Linked DNA regions of Rhinolophus ferrumequinum. The protein of the gene in region 1 purifies or fractionates together with the protein of each later gene. This does not show direct contact. Links are inferred from orthologs where the notes say so. Each region holds a gene or a part of one and is shown in the gene's direction. Other genes may lie near its edges.

Region 1 (7,812 bases):
CTATGTCCTTTGCAACTTTTAAAATTACTATGAAAAATTTTTTGTTGACTTAAAAATGTATGAGGGTTCTATAGGTATTCGTGTATAGGGTCCATGAGCAGAAATTAGGCTGAAGGATGGGCTTCAGGATCTGGAAGGAACCTGATTGATTAATCCATCTTGATCAGTTTGCAGAGGAGGGCACTGAGGACCAAGGAGAGTGAGTTGATTTTCCCAAAGTCACATAGTTGGGCCCAGAACTCAGGTATCCTTAAGTTCATTCCTTTCACTACTTCGCAGGCCTCCACTGTGCTCTGAAATCCCACCACCAATTTTGAGGAATGAGGAAGACAAAAAGGGACTGCAAAACAGTTACTGAATAATAGGGACATCTCTTGGGTAGGTTGCACTCCATACTGTGGCTCCAGCCCCTGTAGTCAGGCCGAGAAGCTAAGTCTTAGGTATGGCTGAGCCTAGGGTAATTGGTTAGAAGACACAGCCTATGTTTTGATGGCTGAGGATTTTTCGTCTAGATCTCCACCCTGCTTTCGCCATCACCTAGGAGTAAACCTACTTTTGGGGACTCTGAGAGTCCAACCTAAACCATCACCATCTCATATAATATGCCCTTTTCAGGACACTTGAATTTCATCTGTTGGCCATCATAATAAACATACCAAAGAAGGGCCCCCTTTAGATCTGATGTCTTGTGCATTGCACAACCATGGTTTACACAGCAGCCCTAGACCCAAGCTAACCCCTCAGAGCTCAGACCAGACAAGCTGGGGCTGCGCCAAGCCCCTGAGGTCCCAGTGCAGAAAAGTGGGTAACCCTGCTGACGTGCTTCCCAGGCCTGAGTTGGAAACAATGCAGTGCACGGCCATCTTGCTGCAGGCTCAGTGGTGAGCTCCTGTGCTCAGACCTGAGGAGAGAAGCTGGGCCACGATGATGATGAGGCAGACACAGATTTTTTTAAATGACCTCCAAGGTTTGGTTAGTTTTATGTTCCTGACCCCTGATCTCCCTGTGGAGCAAACACACAGTAAAATTGGGGTGGGGTATGGTTAACTGGCTGACCAGACAGGCAGACCCAAGCAGGCTATGGACAAAGACAACCCGGAACAGCAGGTCTGGCCCTGAAACATGAACTAGACCATGGTTACAGCTTGGGACACAGACCTAGAGAGCCAAGGGGACACAGGGCTAACAGGAAAGGACACGGACCGCAATAAGGACACACACCCAAGGCTGGGACCCTGCTGACGTGGCACCCCTCCACCCTGGCCCCTTACTGCCCCCCGCCCCTCTCCCCCGCCTACCAGCTGCCAACAGGGCTCTGCTCTGTGTCTGCCACACCTGTCACTGCCTGTCCTTGTGCAGGGGGGGCCCCATCAGCCCCTCCTCAGCTGCCCAGCAGAGCAAGCAGTTAGTGGGGAGGGGAGGGAACATGGAGCGGGGGCCGGTGGTGGGGGCAGGGCTGGGGGCCGGGGCCCGAATCCGGGCACTGCTGGGCTGCCTGGTCAAGGTGCTGCTCTGGGTGGCCTCTGCCTTGCTGTACTTTGGGAGTGAACAGGCTGCTCGCCTCCTGGGCAGCCCCTGCTTACGGCGCCTCTACCATGCGTGGTTGGCAGCAGTGGTCATCTTTGGGCCCCTTCTGCAGTTCCATGTCAACCCTCGGACTATCTTCGCCAGCCACGGCAACTTCTTCAACATGTGAGTCCACGCGAGGCCGTGGGCGCCGGCTCCCTCCATTCTGGGATCCTAGCTCCCTCCAGGCTTCTGTCCTCCTGCCAGTCCAGGCACTAAAAATAGGCTAGAAGGTTGAGGAGAAGGTCAGAGGAGGGGGAGGGGACAGCGTTGTGGGGGTACAGGGGAAGTCAGGAGCAGGGCTGACGAGGAAATATGGACCATAGAAGGCTGAGTGAGTCTTTCAGGAGATGGCAAAGTTTAAGTGCACGGGGGTGGTGTGGTAGAAGGCACAGGACCCAGAAAGCCAGTGATGAAATATAGAACTGGCAACAGAGCAGTGATGGGAACACAGACCAGGGTGGAAAGATAGGGCTACGAGGTCTCACTAGCCTCCCTTCTCTGCCCACAGAAAGTTTGTGAACTCGGCATGGGGCTGGACATGCACCTTCCTGGGGGGCTTCGTGTTGCTGGTGGTGTTCCTCGCTACACGGCGCGTGGCAGTGACTGCCCGGCACCTTAGCCGGCTAGTGGTGGGGGCAGCTGTGTGGCGGGGGGCCGGCCGGGCCTTTCTGCTCATCGAGGACCTGACCGGCTCCTGCTTGGAGCCTCTGCCCCAGGGCCTGCTGCTTCACGAGCTGCCCGACCGACGCAGCTGCCTGGCGGCCGGCCACCAGTGGCGGGGCTACACGGTCTCCTCCCATACCTTCCTGCTCACCTTCTGCTGCCTGCTCATGGCTGAGGAAGCAGCAGTATTCGCCAAGTACCTGGCCCATGGGCTACCTGCTGGTGCACCCCTGCGCCTCGTCTTCCTGCTCAACGTGCTGCTGCTGGGCCTCTGGAACTTCTTGCTGCTCTGTACCGTCATCTACTTCCACCAGTATACTCACAAAGTGGTGGGCGCTGCAGTGGGCACCTTTGCCTGGTACCTCACCTACGGCAGCTGGTATCATCAGCCCTGGTCTCCAGGGAGCCCCGGCCATGGGCTCTTCCCTCGCCCCCACTCCAGCCGCAAGCACAACTGAAAGAAATAAAGGCACATTAGGCCTGGCTCTGGCCCCTCTCATCATTTGGTGGGGGACCTGGAAAGGGTGGAAAGGGTGAAAAGGCTGATGGTCGCTGGGGTTCCTCAACCATTCCTTGAATGTCCTTCCTTATGCTTGATGGCCATGTCTCCTGCTGTCCTTTCAGTCTTCTAGTCCTTGCAGACTTCGAGCTATCTGAGGCTCTGATGTCAAGGAGTGGCACTGCTAGGGCCAGGTAACAACGCACTTAGGTATGGGCAGCATTCCTGCTGTGCAGCACTCTGTCTACAGCCTGGTTGATTTACTCCCCCGCCCCCCTGCTCCACTGAATCCCCTTCCGCCTTCCTCTAGGAGCTGCCTATCTAGGCACCCTACTCAGGGACCCTTCCCACCCTTTCTTCCCCATAGGGCTCTATGTGTACTCATTTATTTAACAGATGTTTATTGAGCCAAACATAGCTTCAGACCTTGTGAATAAGGGAGACAGGGTTTTTGCTGCTTGGGGGCTTATGGTTTACTGGGGGAGGCAGATGATAAATTCACAAATAATAATAGCAAAACTGCATTGTGCTTACTCCGTGCCAGGCAACATTCTAATTGTCTTAAAGTTCTTTATATAAATTTAACACATTTAACACTCACAACAACGCTATGAAGTAGGTTTGGTAGTGTTCCCACTGTACGGTTGCAAAAAGGCACAGAGGTTAGGTAACTTGTTCACAGCTAGTAAATTATCAGTCAGGATTAAAACCCCGGGGCACTATGGGTCTGTTGTCTGTGCTCTAAGCACAGACAGCCCTCCTGTGGTCATTTTTTGTATGGCCTGATTGCTAAGAATGGTTCTTACATTTTTTTAATGGTTGAAAAAAAAATTAAAGAACATTTCATGATATCTGAAAATTACATGAAATTCAAATTTATGCCCATAAAGTTTTATTGGAACCTAGCCATGCTAATTTATTTAGTTATAACTGTTTACCTGCTACAATGGCAGACTTGAGTAGTGTAGTTGCTACGGACACTATATATAGCCCACAAAGCCTAAAATATTTACTATCTGGCCTTTTACAGAAAAAGTTTGCCAACCCTGGTGTAAACCACACTATCCTCAAAAATTAAACTAATATCAGAGCCAAGTGCTATGAAGTTACTAAACCAGGCTGCTTTGTAATACAGGGAGGTACTTTATAAAGAATGATGGACAGTTCTCTCTGACGAAGTGATATTTGCACGGAAAAAGGAATGACAGACAACGTGAGGCAGGGGCAGGGTGTGCCAGGCAAAAGTATTAGCCAGGGCAAAAGCCCTAAAACGGGCAGGAATGAAAGTGATACCGACAACAAATGAAAAGCCAGGTATTTACAAGTGTAAAGTAAACGGGGCAAACGCAGTAGAGAGTGAAGTTGAATGGCAACAGGTGTCAGGTAGTCCAGGCAGGCCTTAGGGGCCAGGAAAGCCCTGAGGATTTCATCCCAAGGTCAACGGGAAACTGAGAAAGAGTTATAAACAAGGAGAGGGATCCTGCTGCTGTGTGGAAAGCGGGCTACAGAGCAATGGAGTCCACACAAGGGTTAGGAGAGAGCTGACTGGGTTGGAGTGGTGCCGGCGTCTGAATGTCACTGCACGGCCAGAGGATGCCCGTGGAGCCAGGAGCCCAGGCTGGCAGTGCTAGCGAAGGGAGACCAGGTCTTGATCCACCGCTGAGGAAAGATGGAAGAGGGTCAGATAAGGCTTATCACTGTCCCAGGCCGAGCAGGTGAAGAAGAGAGCCAGCAGTCACAAGGCAGAGAGAGATGGGAGGCGGGGAGTCCAAAGGCGGGCACTGGGCTGGGTGGCAGGAGATGTCGGGCCTTGTGAAGAGAGGAAGCGAGAAGTGGAAGCAGTAACGCCTGGAGCGGAAAGAGAGCAAAGAGGATGGAGGAGGTGGCGGCGTGTCGAGAGCAGGGCGGGAGGGAAGAGGCGGGGTGGGCGGAGGCAGTAGGCGGGGAGTCGAGAGACCGACTTCGGCGAGGAGGTGGGAAGGGGGAGGCGGGGCGTCGGGAGCAGGGCGGGGAGGGGGAGAGGGAGGCGGAGGCGGGGCGTCGAGAGGCGGGCGAGGTGGGATGGAAAGGTGGGATGGGCGGAGCGGGCGGAGGAGGTCGGTGGAAACGCTGCTCTCTAGCAGTAGAGGGAGCCCCGCCTGAGCGGCCTTCCTCCGCCCCCCCAGCCCTCTCTTCTCTCCGGACTGTCCCCGCCTCCCCCAGTGCCTCCACTCCCCTCTACCCAGGAAGGCCGCGCGCATTCCGCGCGCTGCTTTCGCTTTCCCTTCACAGTGCCCACTCCTCGCTCCTCGTGCGGCGTTAGGCTCCCCGCCCCGGCCATGGCCACGCTCAGGGTCCAGCCTGAAGCCCAAGCCAAGGTGAGCGCTGCGGGTTCGAGGAAGGGCCCATTAGGGAGGCGTGGCGCCGAAAGGCTGAGGGCGTCAGGCTGCCGCCCCCTAGCCCCCAGACGTGAGTCGGGGTCAGTATCGAGTCCAAGTGAGCCTCTGTGCCCGGAGCACCTGAGCCTCAGGGAGACCGGCGGGGTCCGCCTGCCGGGATTGGAGAGGCGGCTGAGTGAAGCGGGGTGAGGTGAAGCGGAGAACCAGCGTGGAGGGGAAGTCCGCTGGCCCGGGGCCGGGCCCACACACAGTCTGGGTGCGGAACCTGCCTTGTCACCTCGTTGCTTTTCTCACGGGGAGGACCCCGGGGCCCACTCCGTCCCAGCCCGAGTCACAGAAGGCTCTTACACCTCTCCTTATAACAGCCCAGGAGACCCGAGGGATCTGTTGTCACTTGAACCACTTCACCGCCAGGAATGTTCTCATCCCCCAAATCCCGCCCCAAGGGGATCCACTCCACCTTTGCCCAGGCCAGGCCCTACACAATCCTAAGGGACCGGTCCTCATATGAACTGGCCATAAAGCCAGGTGTCTGAAGGGCTGCCTGTACCCCACAGGTGGATGTGTTCCGTGAAGACCTGTGTACCAAGGTAAGAACCGCCCCCTCAGTACCCCGTTCCTACCCATCTCCCACTGCTTAGCCTTTCATTGGTGGGCAGCTTCAGCCCTGCTTCACTACCCGAGAAGGGCGTTGGATTCTGACCTCCATCCTCCCCTGCCTCACCTCACTCCCAGACAGAGAGCCTGCTCGGGAGCTACTTCCCCAAGAAGATTTCTGAGTTGGATGCATTTTTAAAGGTACTGGGGCTGGGCAGGGAGCTAGAGAGTAGGAGCCAAGGGGAGAGTCTGAGGGGCCATGTGAGTGAGGAGGTGAGAGAGATGCCCTTGCCTCCAGCCCTCCTCCTACCCTGCACCAGGAGCCAGCTCTCAACGAAGCCAATCTGAGCAATCTGAAAGCCCCTTTGGACATCCCAGTGCCTGATCCAGTCAAGGAGAAAGAAAAGGAGGAGCGGAAGAAACAGCAGGAGGCAAGCTGGGAAGAGCTGGGAGGAGGGAGCCAACCATGGGGAATATCAGCCTTGGGCCTGACTCCCGAGAGCCCCTCTTTCCCTGCAGAAGGAAGACAAGGATGAAAAGAAGAAAGGGGAAGATGAAGACAAAGGTACTACTATGGTGGCAAAGGATGAGCCTCACCTCCCAGGAGCTCCTCCTGAAGGATTCTTCTTCCCCACCCCTCCCGCAGTCCCAGCCATGTGCCTGACCCATTGTCCGCTCTCTAGGTCCTCCCTGTGGCCCAGTGAACTGCAACGAAAAGATTGTGAGCCTCCTGCAGCGCCTAAAGCCTGAGATCAAGGATGTCATTGAGCAGCTTAACCTGGTGAGCCCTACCACTGCCACCGCCAGGCTTTAGGTCAAACCCTTTGTCTTCCTTGGTCCCTGCCAGTTAGGGCATGGCACTTGCCAGGTCTTAGCAGGAGAGGGCACAGCAAATGAAGCCAGAAGTCCAGGCCCTGGGACTCAAGATGGACCTGGCATACCTACACCCACTGTGGGCAGGGAAACAAGGAAGGACAGGAACCTGGGAATTGGGTTGAGGGCTGATGTGGCTTTGATGCCTTTCCCTCCTCCCAGGTCACCACCTGGTTGCAGCTGCAGATACCTCGAATTGAGGATGGAAACAATTTTGGAGTAGCTGTTCAGGTGAGAGCGCTGCCCACTCCTCCACCCTCCTTATGTCTCTAGTCCATGCTGTTTTCCACTTTACCTCTTGCATTCTTTCCTCAGGAGAAGGTGTTTGAGCTGATGACCGCCCTTCACACCAAGCTGGAAGGCTTCCACACTCAAATCTCCAAGTGAGTGTCTGCCCAACTGTACCTGCATGCACACTCAGCCTTTGGCTTGGACAGAGGCCTGGGCTCTCTCCTCCTTCTCCTGTTCCACACCTTTCTACTTCCCACAGGTATTTCTCTGAGCGGGGTGATGCCGTGACCAAAGCCGCCAAGCAGCCCCATGTGGTAGGTGAGGCCGAGGTCAGGGTATATGGGGGGAAGGATATATTTGAAGTGAGGCCTGACCCAGGTCTCCTGCAGGGTGATTATCGGCAGCTGGTGCACGAGCTGGATGAAGCAGAGTACCGGGACATCCGGCTGATGGTCATGGAGATCCGCAATGCTTATGTGAGGAGAAAAGGGTGGGGCAAGGGTGGGTAGAGGCAGCTTTCTCAGGCCACCCACTCCCTGACCCTGCAGGCTGGGAGTGATGGATGACCAAGTTCAGTCTCACCACAAGGTTAGAAATGGGGCATAGAGCTGGGGCCTACAACTGATCCCCACTCCTCCCTGGCCATGTAGGCTGTGTTATATGACATCATCCTGAAGAACTTCGAGAAGCTCAAGAAGCCCAGGGGAGAAACAAAGGGAATGATCTATTGAGCGCCTCCTCTCATACTGTGGTGGATCCAGCAGAGACCGTCCTATCTTTGACAGGGGACTTCAGACTTTGCCCCACCTTCCACCTGTTGAGGTTTCTCCCTCCCCTTGCCTCCCAGGCACAATAAATATAGTCGTAACAATACCCATCAGCTCAAGTCTCTTTATTGGATCTTGACACATGTACCCCGGCCCTGGCTCAGACATTTCCATTGGAGGGACCAACCCACTGGGTGATTCGAGTGTTAAGCTGCTGGTTGGTCCAGTCCTGCCG
Region 2 (7,560 bases), on another chromosome or scaffold:
TGTCTTAGTTCTCAGTTTTCTAACATTGGGTAATACTTTAAAAAAAATTTTTATTGGGGAATATTGGGGAACAGTGTGTTTTTCCAGGACCCATCAGCTCCAAGTCACGTCATTATTTTCAATCTAGTTGTGGAGGGTGCAGCTCACTGGCCCATGTGGGAACTGAACCGGTGACCTTGGTGTTACAAGCACCGTGCTCTAAACAACTGAGCCAACCTGCCGCCCTTGGGCAATATTTATGTTGGATTTTTTTTTAAAGCTGGGGTTCAACCTGAAATAATAAATCTAATTACAGAAATGAATATTTTCACATAATTACCCGAGAAATTTATATTGACATAAAAATTTGAAAACTGAGCTGAGAGAAAGAATATGAGGCTCTTTGAATACTGGGCAGTAAAAGCATCCCAAGTATAAAAGTAAAAATTGCTTCAGCATTCACTGTGATCAGTTCATGATGTTCATTCAAGGGTACTCATTGCCTCAGAATTCACCCTCATGTCTGTGGGGTTAATGTAATTCCTCAAGTGAAAAACCTCCACCAGTGACGCAGGTTTCTAGCGATGTCAACAGTGACTAATACAGTTAAGGAAACACACCCATATGTGTCCATGAAGAAGTACTATTATTTTAGGAGGCAACAAATTTTGTAAATTAAAAACCTTCAGAATTATAAATTCTAAGCAGAGACTTCAAACAAAACAAAGCAACTGTAGAATCCTGCTGTCCAGAGACCAACACTTCTAACGTGTGTCTTGTAGTTTTGGCCCCTATATTTCTAAACAATTGCCGTGTGCTGCTTTATCCTCTTTTCCAGTTTTAGATATTAGCTTTTAACTCTGTATTATGGAAAATAAAGTTCACACAGATACACATTTTCTCAGATCCTCTGAGAATAAGTTCAGTCCCGGCTGAAAAAAAAAAGGGGGGGGGGACAAGAACCGAGGGGAGCTGTGGAGATAGAGCACAGCAATCTGGATCTGGTTCCAGACTGCTTGTCCCCACGATTCCTGGCTGACTTCCCATTCCACTCTCATTCGTCCCCTGCCCGCTCTCCATCCTCCAGTCTATTTATTGTAACTCTGCCTCCATCCATGCCTAGCATTTGAACTGTTATAACTACTTAAATGTTATTCACAATTGAGTCTTGAAGTATTTTAGAATTAAGTTTCTATAACTATCTCACCCCTGAACTCACCGGCAAGAGTATCAATTTATTCTCAGTATTTTCTAACTCATCTTGTATTTGATATGTTTCTTCTTCTTGGACACTTTCTTCTGGAGCCTCCCCTCCCCCATTTATTCAAGAAATATTTGTGGGTGCCTACTAGGTGCCAAGCTGTCTTCTAGGTACTGGGTGCACTCAATGCACATGACAGCGTAAATATACCAGAGGAAAACATGAGTGAATACTTTTCAAACCATGGTGTTGGAAAGGTCTTACTAAGACTTGGCAATAAGAACAGAGACCATAAAGGAAAAGACTGATGTATTTAACCATATAAACATTGTAAACTTTTATGTTGAAAAAGTTTCATTAAAATATAGAAAAACAACTAGGAAAATTTGCAACACTTGAAAAGAATTTAGTATCCTCAAGATATGAAGAGTGCTTACAAATCAGTAAGGAAAATTCCATGGAAGAATTGAGAAAGCAAAACAGATATTTCATAGAAGAGGAACTATACATAGCTAGTTCAAATGTGAAAAGAAACCCAACCTCATAATAAGAAAAGAAATGTAAAGGAAAAGCAACATTGTTATTGTTGCTAAAGCTTAAAATGGTTGCTAAAAGTATATTGGCAAAGAGGGAGATGGGCTCTCTGTTTAATATTGGTCAGAATGTAAATTGTTATATCATTTTTGAAATAATAATTTACATAATCCTTATATGAGGTCTGACAATTAAGTTTGCGGACTTGTTGCAACGATGCTGCTACCCTTTTTATTATATCAGAGGGATTATTCATTATGAATTTGTATCAACTGGACAAACAGTTAACCAAGTTTACTATTTGGAAGTGCTGAAAAGGCTGCATGAAAAAGTTAGATGATCTGAACTTTTGGCCAACAATTCCATGGCTCTTGCGTCACCACAATGTACCATCTCACAAGGGATTGTGGGGGAATTTTTAGCCAGTAAACAAATAACTGTATTGGAACATCCTCCCTACTCACCTGATCTGGCCCCCAATGACTTTTTTCTTTGCCCGAATATAAAGGAAATATTGAAAGGAAGACATTTGGATGACATTCAGGACATCAAGGGTAATATGACAACAGCTCTGATGGCCATTCCAGAAAAAGAGTTCCAAAATTGCTTTGAAGGCTGGACTAGGTGCTGGCCTGGGTGCATAGCTTCCCAAGGGGAGTACTTTGAAGGTGACCATAGTGATATTCAGCACTGAGGTATGGAGCAGTTTTACTAGGATGAATTCGCAAACTTAATTGTCTGACCTTGTATGTCAAAAAATAAAACATTCAGACCCTCTTATTTAGCAGTTACACTTCTAGGGATTTGGATTAAGAATTATGAAGTATGAAAATGTATGCACACAAATGATCAGCATTGTGGTATTTATAAGGGTGAAATCAATATCAATTAAAGATTGATGGCAAAAAAGTTGGTACATAAAAATAATGGAATTCTATCTGGTTGGTCATTAGAAGTGATGATATCAATCCACTTCTATTGGCATGAAAAGATATCTACAGTAAATGAGTGATACAGTGAACAGAAAAGTTTGTAAGGTACAAGTACAATATGACCCTATTAATATATCTAACTGGGTTTCAGTGAAGTTAAGTGTCTCTAGAATGTAAGTTCCACCAGGACAAGGGCTTTGTGTTCTTCACTAATGTATCCTTCGTGCCTAGAACAGCGCCTGGTACTTTGCAACCAGGCAATAATGTTTGTCGAATGAACGAATGAAAGATATTTAGAAAGTTCTTCACCAATAATTTACCATGGTGGAGTGCTAGTAATTTTTTCTGTGTCCTGTATATTTTCTGTACCATTTGAGTTGCCTTCAGAATGCTTACTTTATTTTTACCAAAACAGGTAAGATATTAAAAATGTGTGGTGATGTCTACTGCTGGTGAGAATTTGGCAGTGACTGTGTAAACTGGTTCAACTCTTTTGGAAAACCATTTGACATTAGCTATGCAAAAATCACAAAACGTTTTTTCCTTTTGTCTTGTCTGTTAATCCTTTGTGGGAATTCATGCTAAGGAAAACAAATGCAAATTATGAAATGACCTATGAATCTAGTGGTGTTCATCTCAGTTTTTATGTCAGGAAAATAACAACCCTGGATAATGTAAAGGCATCTCTAATGGAGGGAAGAGTAAAAGTAAATTATGGTAATACATTAGATGGAATTTCATATAACCATTACCAATTCTGAAGCCTCTGTAGTAACATGAATAATAAGAGGCTGAAAATGCAGGCATGCAATAATTTAAATTATGTTTAAATAACATGATGATGTTGTATTAAGACTAGAATTCTGGGTGCTGTTTTCTTAGAATAGCGAAAGAACACTGGTTTTAGAGCTACCGATTTTTCTTTTCGAGCATTGCTACGTAACTGTTACATATCTTGCTTGATCATGTTCCCTAACCTCTTTGTGCCTCAGTTTTCTTATCTACAAAATGGGCTAATAGTACTACCTCCTAGTAATAACAGGATTAAAATGAGATGATTGTTGTGCAGGGAGGGTCTCAGCTCCCACTCCCCGCACAAGAACACAGGATATGGTGATGCCAAAAAGGAACAACAACAGAGCCATAGACAGAGGAGTCATACCACGATATTCTTGATGGCTGCCAATAGAGACACAAGAGCAAACATCCTCCAGTACCCCAAGGAGGGGTCTTCCTGCACCCCAGTCTCGCTGGCCGGGAGGGGGGGCACACAGGAAGTAGGATCTACAGGATCCCGCAATCTGCCTTCAGCTTGCTAACCACACTTGCTAGACTCAATCCCCTCCGCTTCTCTGTCAACTAACCCAACCCCCTAGCCAAGCCATGGCAGTTATATTAGTGGCTAATGGCTAACGGGTAACAGCGGATGGCCATCCAGCCACAGCGGATGGCCATCTGATCACAGCTGATGGCCATTTACTACCGGAGCCAGCACCTTTCCACATAAGGCCGAGAGTCTAGAAACTGCTCTCTGGGACTCTGTCCGGACAATGACACACGTAAAAGGCCAGGCAAAGAATTAAGCCCTTGATAAACTGTGATAGTTGTTTTTATTGTTGTTATTATATTCTCAAAATCTTCAAAAGATTGTCAGCTCCTATCAATTACAAACGGAGTGAAAAGTAAAACAGCTAAAAAGAGAGGAAGGAAGAAGTTCCCGAAGTCGAACTCCGGAATTGGGCTTCAGACACTCGGAGACTCGCGGAGCCCCGCGCGAGGGAAGCTCGGGCGCCTGTCCCGGGCGCAGGCGCTCCGCCCGCTGAGCGTTCCCGGACCTGACCGGGAGGGGACGCTGCAGCTGGAGGGGGAGCCCGGACCGGAAGCCGGGCGGGAGGCTGCGGGGCGCGCTCGCCGCCTCCTCCGCTTCCGCCGCCGCCGCCGCCGCGGGTCCGCGCTGAGTCGCTGTCTGCTCTGAGCCGCCGCCGCCGCCGCCGCCGCCGCCGCCGAGATGCCCCTGGAGAACCTGGAGGAGGAGGGTCTGCCCAAGAACCCCGACCTGCGCATCGCGCAGCTGCGCTTCCTGCTCAGCCTGCCCGAGCACCGTGGGGACGCGGCCGTGCGCGACGAGCTGATGGCGGCCGTCCGCGACAACAGTGAGTCCGCGCGAGCGCCGAGTCAGCGGCCTAGGCCGGGGCTGGCCCCGCGCCCCGGAGCCTGCGGGGGTTTGCCCCGGCGGGGCTCCGGACCCCGGGGCGCCCCCCGCATGGGGTCCGCGAGGCCAGGCCTGGCCTCTCACACCCTCAGGACCTTCCTCTTGTTGGGGGAGCCTTCGGGGACCGCGCGGCCTTGCTCTCAAAGGGGTCTGCAGCGGTGTGGGCGCTTCCCCTCGGAGAGCAGCCTGGGGGGAGCCCTGAGGTCGTTAGCCCCGCGCTTGGCACAGAGCAGAGACTTCCTGTCGTTAGCGAGCGGAGCGGGGCTGGAGGTAGTCCTGCAGGCGAGGCGCTGCCCGTGCGTCGGAAACCCGGGCCGCTGCCTCGGCTCCTGGCAGGCAGTGGCTCTGCGCTGTATGTACTTGATCATACGTGTCTGAGTGGGTGAATGAACAAGCTTACCCTTTACGTTGCTTGAAGACGCTTGGAACACAAGCCATCAAGAGGCAAACCGAGCCCCACTAGAGGTTGGCAGTGCCACGATCGGCCCTGATGCAGACCCGCCGGCAGCAAACACTTAGGTTTTGCCAAGCCCTTTACCAGGCTCTATCCCATTCCTTCCTGGTAGTGAGTAGGAGGCTGGTGGATGACCTACGTGTGTGTGTGTGTGTGTGTGTGTGTGTGTGTGTGTGTAAGAAGGGGGTGGACACTGACTCTAGGGTACAAGGGGTCCCTTGCTACTAAGTCACGTCCCTATTTTTGGCTCTCAGACATGGCTCCTTATTATGAAGCCTTGTGCAAATCCCTGGACTGGCAGATGGACATGGACCTGCTTAATAAAATGAAGAAGGCAAATGAAGAAGAGTTGAAACGTTTGGATGAGATGCTGGAAGATGCAGAAAAGAATCTTGGAGAGAGCGAAATCCGCGATGCCATGATGACGAAGGCAGAGTACCTGTGCCGGATAGGTGACAAGGTGAGTAGAGGTGGTTTCCCCGCTCCGGACAGTCTAGAAGGGGCACTATTCTAAGTTGGTAATGTCTTTAAAATCAGCTTCCTTTAAAAAAAAATTTAAATGTAATGTGCTTACCTGAACTAGTGAATCAGTGCAAAAAATGAATAAAGAGAAAAAGTCTTCTTGCTACACCCTATCACAGCAACCAGGTGTGTATTCTTCCCCATCTCTCTTTCTACCAATAAAAACTGAAGTGCACAAGCAGAGATTTTTGTTTACTGCTTTTACAAAATTGGGATCATTCTCAGTAGTTCACTTTTCTCACTTATCTTGGTTGGGAAGCATCGTTTCTGGTGTCTTTTTAAAAGTATTCTTTACACAAGTAATAATCTTATAAGAAACTAAAACATTATATAGTTAATATTAAAGTTCTGTTTGATCTTTATTCCCTACCTCCTCAAAGGTAACCTTTTGAGTTCTTTTATTGTACTTTTATGGGCATCTAAATGTACCTGTAGAAATTAGGTAGTATCGTGTTTAAATTTTTTTTTTAAATAAATGGGCCATAGTGTATTCATATCCCGTTTGTGAAGCTAATAGCCTTGTAGGGCTGTGCCATAGTTTATTTAGCTATTCAGCTATTGATGGACATGTATGTTGTTTTCAGCTGTTTTTGCTATTACAAGCTGCTGCTGTAAAAACATGCTTGTATATGCTTTCTTGAGTATATATGCTAATATTTCTCTAGGGTATATTCTGTACATTGAAACTGCTGGGACAAGGAATGATTTTTATCTTAATATGTGTGTTCAGTTCTTCCACATAGCAGCCAACCTAATTAATACTCCACTATCAGTGCAGAGAGGGATACCCAACAGTATTGGGTCTTTAAAGTTTTTAAATTTAGTAGTTGTGTAATAGTGGTTAAGATGATGGGCTTTGAATATCCTTAATTTTAAACACTGTACCCTAAAGTATTTAGATGACAGATGACATAGTGTTAATATAAAAAGAATAAAATGTTCTGGGCTCTTGGATCAGATTGCCTAGTTTCTGTTTCCAGTTTCAGTAATTATGATTTACTGGCCCCTCAGTTTCCTCATCTGTAAAATAGGGATAATGATAGTTCCTGCATAATGAGAATTAAAAACAAAGGCAAAGAGCTTAGACTAGTACGTGGCACAAAGTGCTTAAATGTTAAATGATAGGCGCTATTATTATTTAATTTAAATTTAAAACAAGTTTTCTTCTTCTGATTCTAAATCTAAGATTCGGTCATTGTAAAACTTCGGAAAATACAGAACATTTTAAAAATACCTAATACTTTGTGTGGTTTTCTAGGCTGTGTGTAGGTTTGATTTGATTTGATTTGATTTTAAAGAGGATACGTTATTACATATGAATGAGAGACTTAACGCTTTTGATTCAGACCTTGAGGAATTTCAACAAGAACATGCTTGAATCAATATCGGGGCGTTGTAAATGAGTGATGTTCCAGTATTCTGTTTATCAAAAAGCATTATTCTAAAAAGAACAGCTTCTATTTCTCCCGTGTCCTCTTATTTACAACTACTAAATAATACACTTAATGGATTTTTATTCACTGTGTTACCACTGATTATAGTTATTATTCTTTTATGGTGCCCAGTTTGTTACAGATTTATTCATGGGAGCTCTTTCGAGAAGCCGCCTTTGTCCTTTTGACGTTGGTCTTCCTTATTTTCTCATGCAGCAAGATGTCACAGGCTCCCCTGATATTTTCACTCTCCAAACCTGGAATCATCTACTTTTCCCAGGATCCCTGGTTTC

What was found. Proteins that work in one complex are often made in the same cells at the same time.
Region 2: the proteins of PSME1 (region 1) and PSMD6 purify together in Homo sapiens (affinity purification with western blotting; 3 studies listed by BioGRID and IntAct, with this or other methods). This does not show direct contact. The link is inferred for Rhinolophus ferrumequinum from reciprocal best matches to the Homo sapiens genes PSME1 and PSMD6.

What each region holds. Positions count from the first base shown.
Region 1 is NC_046289.1:74,300,037-74,307,848, forward strand, and holds PSME1 (proteasome activator complex subunit 1), read left to right. Parts: upstream 1-4,807; 5' UTR 4,808-5,049; coding exon 5,050-5,088; intron 5,089-5,666; coding exon 5,667-5,699; intron 5,700-5,844; coding exon 5,845-5,907; intron 5,908-6,026; coding exon 6,027-6,137; intron 6,138-6,225; coding exon 6,226-6,271; intron 6,272-6,389; coding exon 6,390-6,487; intron 6,488-6,741; coding exon 6,742-6,810; intron 6,811-6,894; coding exon 6,895-6,962; intron 6,963-7,069; coding exon 7,070-7,124; intron 7,125-7,199; coding exon 7,200-7,286; intron 7,287-7,460; coding exon 7,461-7,541; 3' UTR 7,542-7,687; downstream 7,688-7,812. Other genes in the region: FITM1 (fat storage-inducing transmembrane protein 1), read left to right, coding at 1,427-1,692, 2,078-2,690; EMC9 (ER membrane protein complex subunit 9), read right to left, coding at 7,738-7,812. UniProt on the Homo sapiens protein: Implicated in immunoproteasome assembly and required for efficient antigen processing. The PA28 activator complex enhances the generation of class I binding peptides by altering the cleavage pattern of the proteasome.
Region 2 is NC_046300.1:58,045,406-58,052,965, reverse strand, and holds the start of PSMD6 (26S proteasome non-ATPase regulatory subunit 6), read left to right. Parts: upstream 1-4,560; 5' UTR 4,561-4,654; coding exon 4,655-4,799; intron 4,800-5,566; coding exon 5,567-5,772; intron 5,773-7,560.